Sus scrofa: one gene and its partner. The protein of the gene in region 2 interacts with the protein of the main gene of each other region in a pairwise test. Links are inferred from orthologs where the notes say so. Each region holds a gene or a part of one and is shown on either strand. Other genes may lie near its edges. The genes, in order: ISG20L2 and EML1.

Evidence for each region.
Region 1: the proteins of EML1 (region 2) and ISG20L2 interact in binary tests that used the Homo sapiens proteins (3 or more experiments, as listed by UniProt). The two-hybrid records come from large-scale screens. The link is inferred for Sus scrofa from reciprocal best matches to the Homo sapiens genes EML1 and ISG20L2.

Annotation. Positions count from the first base shown.
Region 1 is NC_010446.5:93,364,686-93,369,226, forward strand, and holds the start of ISG20L2 (interferon-stimulated 20 kDa exonuclease-like 2), read left to right. Parts: upstream 1-1,502; 5' UTR 1,503-1,838; exon of another isoform or gene 1,839-2,420; 5' UTR 2,421-2,537; coding exon 2,538-3,254; intron 3,255-4,541. Other genes in the region: protein RRNAD1, read right to left, coding at 1,031-1,141. UniProt on the Homo sapiens protein: 3'-> 5'-exoribonuclease involved in ribosome biogenesis in the processing of the 12S pre-rRNA. Displays a strong specificity for a 3'-end containing a free hydroxyl group.
Region 2 is NC_010449.5:120,866,478-120,870,286, forward strand, and holds part of EML1 (echinoderm microtubule-associated protein-like 1), read left to right. Parts: intron 1-240; coding exon 241-340; intron 341-2,713; coding exon 2,714-2,868; intron 2,869-3,809. UniProt on the Homo sapiens protein: Modulates the assembly and organization of the microtubule cytoskeleton, and probably plays a role in regulating the orientation of the mitotic spindle and the orientation of the plane of cell division.

The DNA of each region.
Region 1 (4,541 bases), on a different chromosome or scaffold from region 2:
CCTCCATATGCCAAGGATGAGGGCCTAAAAAGACAAAAAGAGCAAAAGAAAAAGAAAAAGAAAGTGCAAAGGCCCAGATCAGGCCAGTGCAGGTGTAGTATCGTGAATGTGAAGGGGTCTAAAAAGGAACACAGATTATGCAGAACTTTATAGATAATGGTAAAGAATTAGAATTTCATCAAAGTACCTAAGAAACAAATAAGTGTCATCATCAGATTCACATTTTCAAAAGATCAATCTGTTTTATGAAGAATTGTTTATGGAGGAGAGGAAGCAAACACAGAGCTCAGTTAGGAAGTAGTCCAGGAGAGAGACAATGTTAGCTTGGCCTAGAGTGGTAGCAATGGCGATGGAGACAAATGGGTGAATTTGGTATCTATTCTGGAGGTTGAACCAAATAGGACTTGTTGAAGGACTGGATTGTAGATCAGTGAAGAAAAGAGCTAAATTGAGGATGGTTTCTGGGTTTGGGAGCTGAACAATTCGGAGGATGCTGGTGCCATTTATACATCATCTCATTTATTTTTCACAATCATCCTTCAAAAAGGGATCCATTTTACAGCTGAGAAACTGGGGCTAGGAGGAATTGTTTTAATGCCTAAGGTTAACACAGTAAGCGAGGCAGGATTCTAGTCCAAGTCTCTCATATTCCAAAGCTGGAATTGTCCATTACACTGCAAAACCAGGAATTTATTCAAGGCTTGAATGAATGAACATGTGTGTTCTTGGAACACCTCACACGTTCCTGGGAAAGTTCGACGCAGCTGCAGCAGCATGGCTCAAATATCCATGCATTTTACTACTTTGGATTTCAGAAGCTTAGAAAGACAACCCAGATGCTAACATATTAACATTTAGGTCAGAAGAAAAAAAGGAAGAGCAGCCTCAAACTTTTCTTGTACAGACAAAAGCCTGAAGAAACTCATATTAGAAGAGACCAGACGCTAACTCTCCAGATCCTCTCCTGTCGTGAGCACCTATCCACCACACAACCAGGAGGAGCACCCCACCCACACCCCTGTGGCCTCACAATGATGTAGGCGTCCAGGATGGAACGGTAGAGCGTCACGACCCGGGTGAGGTTCACAGCTAGTTGCCTCCTCTCCTCGTAAGAGAGGCCCCGGGCGGAAACCCCCGGCATTCCGGGGCCCAGCCGGTGGCGCGAGGAGCGACAATGCAGTGAGGAGGGAACAGGGTCAGGACTACACGGGTCCAGGACCCAGGCTGGATTCAGTTCTGCACTCGGAGCAGGAAGAAAGCGCTCAGAATCCAGCCCCCGATGCTGCCTTTCCGGGACTTCAGCCTGGGTGAAGACTTGAGGCGCCCTCCAGACGTCACAGGTCGCGACGTCCCATAGCGCGAAGGTGTCAGCGTCGGAGACACACCGGGCGGGGGGGGGGGGTTGCCAGCGCAGTGACGTCACAGAGGCGTCCCCCGGCGCCCCGCTCACGGAGAGGGGTGGGCCAAGCTCAGGTCCCGCCCCTTCCCGTACAACCCCCCCTCCCGGAAGTGAGGCCGGGGTCTCCCGCGCGCTGCAGTTCTCGTTTGTCGCGGCCTCCCTGAACCTTCGAGTTGTACCTCCACGGGGCTAGAGGGGCTGGGGAGCGCATCCCGCCCCCGCCCCCACCCACGCCGCCTCCCCCACCGCCGCCGCTGCCGCTCCCCACACACTCGGAATCCCTGGCCTCGCTCCCGGAGGCGGGGGCGCTGTGGGCTCGCGCGCGCAGGCCCCCGGCGCGTTCCAATCCGCGCGCCTGCCGGGCCGGGCCTCGTCGGCGCGTGCCAATTTCCGTATCCGGCTCCTGGCGCTTCCGGTCCTAGCTGGGCACATCTAGGAGGTAGGTGCGCGAGCGTGTGGGGACGGCCGAAGTGGTGCGGACGGCCGAAGTGTGCCGTCCCCCGCGTCGGTTTCTTCTCTGTTGATATGTGGTGTCAAAGGTCCTTTCTTGGGAGAAGGACTTGGGTGAGATGCATGTGGCGATTTCCCCCACCTGGAGATCAGGGACAGGGGTTCCTGGAACCCGCGCTGGGGATGCCTGGGTAAGCCAGAGGTCGTCTGTGGCATACCCCACACTGCCTTCGAGCATACTTAGACGTTCTCTCCCTGGACAGATGAGATAGCTCACCTATTCGGGCGTTCTAGATCACAGAGTTTCAGCTGGTTGGCCCTGCAACCCCCTCAGTTTGCGGTTGAGACAGATATTGAGAAGGGAAATGGCCTTCCTGTACAGCTGCTGAATTGTGGGGCTGTCCTAGAACCCAGGCTTCCTGGCTGAGAAGAAGTGCTCCTTCCATCATTTCACATTATCTGAGAGGTTACTCTGATGTCTTTCTCTCTCTTAAGTCCTAGGGAGATGGGTCTTATCTTACGGGTTCCCAAGCCTATGGGTTCCCATTATCAGTATCACCTTCTTCCCCAGGGTATACTGCAGACCTCCAGATGTTGGTCTGTGGGATTCGGCAGAGGATGAGTTTTCTATCCTCCTCTCAACTGTAAGCTACTCTTCCCAACTGTTCTCCCGCTGTCCACTGTCATCATGTCTACCTTACTCCTCAATCTGGATTTTGGTGAACCTCCCCCAAAAAAGGCATTAGAGGGGAATGCCAAGCACCGAAAATTTGTCAAGAAGCGCCGGCTCTTGGAACGGAAGGGCTTTTTGAATAAGAAACAGCAGCCCCCTAGCAAGGTGGCTAAGTTGCAATCAGAATCGTCAAAGAAAGGGAAATCTCCCAAGGTAGATGGCGCTTGGAAGGCCCCTCTTCTTTCAAAAAAGAAGACAGCTGCCTCCAGCGGTGGGTCAGGGCAGTCTCTGGACAAGCCATCTGCAGTGCCTTGGCTGACCCCTGCCCCTTCACAGAAGGCTGGTTCTGTTGTGGCCAAAGTAGACTTACTGGGGGAGTTCCAGAGTGCCCTACCAAAGATTAAGAGCCACCCAACTCGCCCCCGGAAGAAGGGCTCCCAGAAGAATGCCCCACAGAATTCCACCCAAGCTCATTCCGAGAAGAAATATTCTGGAGCATCCCAGAAGGGTCCGAGCAAGATGGTGGCAATTGACTGTGAGATGGTGGGCACAGGACCCAAAGGGCATGTCAGTTCCTTGGCTCGGTGTAGTATTGTCAACTACAATGGAGATGTGCTTTATGACGAGTACATCCTTCCCCCCTGCCACATTGTGGACTACCGGACCAGGTGGAGTGGTATTCGGAAGCAGCATATGGTGAATGCCACACCCTTCAAGATTGCTCGAAGCCAGGTGAGAGGCTGGGGGGACAGGTGGTCGTGGAGAAGTGGGTGGGAGAAGTCCAAATCATTTCTCCCCAAAAGATAGCACCCTGGAAAGGCAGTTGTGGAGGGAGGTATGGAGTGGGTGGAATAGCAGATGATGAAGAAGACTTTTCTTTGGGGAAAAGGAGTGGGGAGGGTCTGGAAAGTTACAACTAGTTGGTATAACTTTATTTATTTATTTTGTCTTTTTATCTTTTCTAGGGCCGCACCTTCGGCATATGGAGGTTCCCAGGCTAGGGGTCCAATCGGAGCTGTAGCCGCCAGCCTACACCACAGCCACAGCCACGCCAGATCCGAGCTGAATCTGCGACCTACATCACAGCTCACAGCAATGCTGGATCCTTAATCCACTGAGTGAGGCCAGGGATTGAAGCCGCAACGTCATGGTTCCTAGCTGGATTCATTAACCACTGAGCCACGACGGGAACTCCACAAACTTTATTAGTTAAGATCTACTTTAGGTCCCAAGTGGAATCCTATACTGGAGGAGTGGGAGTCTACTAGAGAAATAACAGCCATGATGGACAGAGCAGCAGGCATGCATGCCAGGGGGAAAGGGCTTAAGCCATTCTATGCCTTGTAGAGGTTGAGTCTAGGGTTGAGAACAGAGAAGTGGTGAGGGCTTCCCACACAAGACATAGTCTGTGGCAGTGTGGAAAGTTGGTGGTCGGAGAGGGCAGAATGTTGACAGGAGGAGCTGGGGTATGTGTATATACCTGGAACAGGGAGCCTGCAGTGAAGGGGATAAAAGACACAGGACGGGTATGTCGGGGTTCTTCTCTCACTCATTGAGCAAACCTTACTCTAAGCCCTTATGGTGAATATTGGAGGCACAGGCAAATGAATAGGAAAGGAGGGGGAGCTGGTAGAGTTGAAAGGGAAGGAAGAGTGGGCGCACTGGCCTTGGAAGACCTCCAGAGGGCGCCCTTGGCTTTGTAATTTCAGCTCCACATTCTTTGCCTTTCCTGGACACACACTGTTCCAGTAATTCTTTACACGCCAGAGCAGTCAGTTGGAGGAATTTCATCAGAGGTGGAACAATTGGATTTTAGAAAGAACTCGAAGAGTTGAAGGATGTCCTATGCACCAGGGGCACAGCTGAGCACAGGCCTGGGAGAGGCAGGAGGTGGGATGGGTCTGAAACAGCAAATCCACTCCACTTGAACGAGGCCTGTATGTTGAAATTCAAAGGTGTTGGTGGTCAGTAATCTGCCGGTGAAGTCAGGAGCAACTAAATACCAAGTTGATTGGACTA
Region 2 (3,809 bases):
GGGTTAAGGATCCAGCGTTGCTGTGAGCTGTGGTGTGGGTTGCAGACGCGGCTCGGATCCCGAATTGCTGTGGCTGTGGCGTAGGCTGGTGGCTACAGCTCTGATTTGACCCCTAGCCTGGGAACCTTCATATGCCATGGGAGCGGCCCAAGAAATTGCAGAAAAAAGAAAAAAGAAAGAAAATATAAAAAAATAAAATTAAATTAAAATATATGTGAATGTTTTTTAAACATTCTGCAGAAGCAGGAAAAGCCGAAGTTTGTCCTCTGTGTGACTTTTTCTGAAAATGGTGACGCCATCACCGGAGATTCAAGTGGCAACATCCTGGTCTGGGGAAAAGGTAAGCAGTGCCTGCTCCCGGAGCAGACGGTTTTGGGTGACGTTTTAAGTAAGAAGCCAAGCGTGGCCTCCATAGAAATTGTCAGTTAACTTGCAGAGTTACTATCTGATTCCAAGCTAACACTGGTGCGTACGAGCAGGAGACTGGAACAGAGGCGAACAAGACTAGAAAGCTGCTGACTTCCGTCACTCTGAAAGGCTCTTCATAAGTCAGAAAGAGAAGGACAAATACCCTCTGATATCACTTATATGTGGACTCTAAAATATGACACAAATCTGTGAAACCAAAAGACTCACATAGACAACAGATGTGTGGTTCCCACAGGTGGGGAGGGGAGGATGGGGCTTGGGGTCAGCAGATATAAGCTATTATATATAGAATGGAAGGCCAGTGAGGTCCTACTATATAGCACAGGGAATTATATTCAGTATCCTGTGATAAACCATAATAGAGAAGAATTTGTTCTGTCCATGCCTGCAGCATGCAGAAGTTCCCCAGCCAGGGATCCACCCTGCACCACAGCAGTAACCAGGGCCACAACAGTGACAATGCCAGGTCCTTAACCCATTGAGCCACCAGGAAGCTCTGAAAAGAATATATTTTTTAAAATATGTACATTGGAGTTCCTCTCATGGCTCAGCAGTTAACGAAACCAACTAGCATCCTTGAGGATGCAGGTTCGATTTCTGACCTCACTCAGTGGGTTAAGGATCTGGCATTGCTGTGAGCTGGGGTGTAGGTCACAGACGCAGCTTGGATCTGGCATTGCTGTGGCTCTGGTGTAGGCCGGCAGCTGCAGCTCCGATTTGACCCCTAGCCTGGGAACCTGCATATTGTTGTGGGTATGGCCCTAAAAAACAAAAATAAAAATAAAAAATTAAAATTAAAATATGTATATTGGAGTGCCTGTTGTGGCTCATCAGGCTAAGAACCTGTTGTAGTCTCTGTGAGGATGCGGGTTGGATCCCTGACTTCCATCAGTGGGTTAAGGGTCCAGCATTGCCACAAGCTGCAGCGTAGGTCGCAGATGTGGCTCAGATCCAGCGTGGCCGTGGCCGTGGCATAGGCCTGCAACTGCAGCTCCAATTCCACCCCTAGCCCAGGAACTTCCATATGCTACAGGTGTGGACATAAAAAGAAAAAAAATTTTTTAATTTTACATAAAAAAGAATACATATATGTATGTATAACTGAATCACTTTGCTGTACAGCAGAAATTAACACAATATTGTAAATCAACTCAACCTCAGTAGAAAGTGAAATAAAAGGTTCAAGTCCAAGGCAGTCTAATGGGATTAACAGCTTTGTTAGGAGATCTGACAACAGTGGTGACAAAGTCATCCATGACCGTTTAGCTCTACAGTAAACTTTTCGGGTTCACAAAGCGCTTGGCCAAGGTCGACTGAGTACCGCTGCGTGGGGGCCGCGTGCCAGACGCCGGGCGTGCGGGTGCTCAGGTGGGAGTCCCCGCTGTCAGGGGGCGGACCGTGTGGTGAGGCCCATGACTCGGAAACATTCCCTCTGCCAAGTTCAGTGAGCACGCGTGCGCGCTCACCACGTGCCAGGAAGCCAAGGGGAGATGCCCCATCCCGGGCCTCAGGGGTCTCAGAGCTTGGGGTGGTTGGGGGCGAAGGTGGGAAGAGAACCCGTCAAGGTCACTTCGGACGAATTCAGTGGCTTCGGCATGTCCCCTGCTCCTCTGGGTGCCAGGGGCTCGACACACCGCTTCATTTCACCCCGAGAACAACCCAGTGGGATAAGCAGCAGCCCCGTGGCCAGAAACCGAGACAGAGCAGTTGCGTCACCTGTGCAGAGACACACAGCTCCCCTCTCAGCCGCACGTGGTCTGACTCTGCGCTATGCTTCGCGTCAGTGTGTTTCCTAATTAATGTTTAAAAGGCATGCTATTGCAGTGCAGTGGCTTCACAGTGTTGGGTTCATTTCTGCCCAGCAGCGGAGTGACTCGGCTACACACACATCTGTCCCTTTCTCGTATTCTTCTCCCTGATGGTCTGTCACAGGGTGTTGACTGGAGTCGCCCGTGCCCTGCAGAAGGACCCGTGGTTAATCCGTGCCCACACAGAATAGCCTGCCCCCGCTACTCCCAACCTCCCGGTCCATCCCGTCCCCTGCTTCCCTTAATTATAAAGTCACCCACGTCCTGCTTGTCTGGTGCTCTGGCAACGTCTAGAAAGCGGATCCTTAGGCGATTCGCACCAGAATGGTGTTCCGACAATATCACGTTTTCAAACAGAAAGGACCCCTTGCTGTACAGTGGGAAAATTAAAAAATAAAATAAAACAGAAAGGAAGCGAGTCGGGCAGAGGTGAGCCTTTTGACAAAGTGCTAAGCGTGTTTTCTTGCTGTGTTTAGGTACGAACCGAATAAGCTATGCAGTTCAAGGGGCCCACGAGGGTGGTATTTTTGCACTTTGTATGTTAAGGGACGGCACGCTGGTGTCGGGAGGCGGGAAGGACCGCAAACTCATTTCTTGGAATGGAAACTACCAGAAACTCCATAAAACCGAGGTAAGACAGCCAGTCATGTTATGGACGTTCGTTTTGAACCTTCAGTGGTTAGGCTGAGCCGTTTCCTTGTAGGCTCAAAATCTCTAGCTTACTGTTTTGCAAATTGCTTCGATAAACTGTTACTAAGGGGGGTAATATTTTGTAAAAACCATGGAAGCAGGTTAACGACCAAAATAGAATTAGGCTTATAAAATTTGAGGTTGTAACATTTCACATCTAGGATGTTATTATTATTACTATTATCATTATTTGGCTTTTTTAGGGCCACATCCACGGCACATGGAGGTTCCCAGGCTAGGGGTCGAATCGGAGCTGTAGCTGCCAGCCTACACCACAGCCACAGCCACAGCCACGCCAGATCCCAGCCACGTCTGTGACCTACACCCCAGCTCACAGCAGCACCCGATCCTTAACCCACTAAGCGAGGCCAGAGATCGAACCTGCAACCTCATGGTTCCTAGTCGGATTCGTTTGTACTGCGCCACAATAGGAACTCCATTGTGTAGCAGTTTTTACAAGATTTGACCAGCATTTGATTGAACCCTTGTTAAATTATAACCGTCACAGATACTCCGAAGCCTCTGGTTTTATGGAAGATATTCACCCCTTTGAAGTATCTACAGTTCCTCTTCATCAGCCTGGATTGTTATCAGCTTTTCTCAAATCTGTGCTAAGAAACCACGCTGGCAGTATAAACAGTTTGTACGTGAACAGGCTGCTTCCTGCCACCCCAGAACCTCGGTGCCTGGAGTCACCCCCAGAGTCTCGCTGCAATGTTTCTTCTTTATATAAAGTGCGAGGACCTCTGTTTATTTTATGATAGCAAATTGTTCTTGGCTGGTGTATTGTACAGTTATTTTTATTAACATTTAGATAATCCCATATGTTTACCAACATGAGCAGCGGGTTTCAAAACTAAAGTTACAGTTACAATACATTTT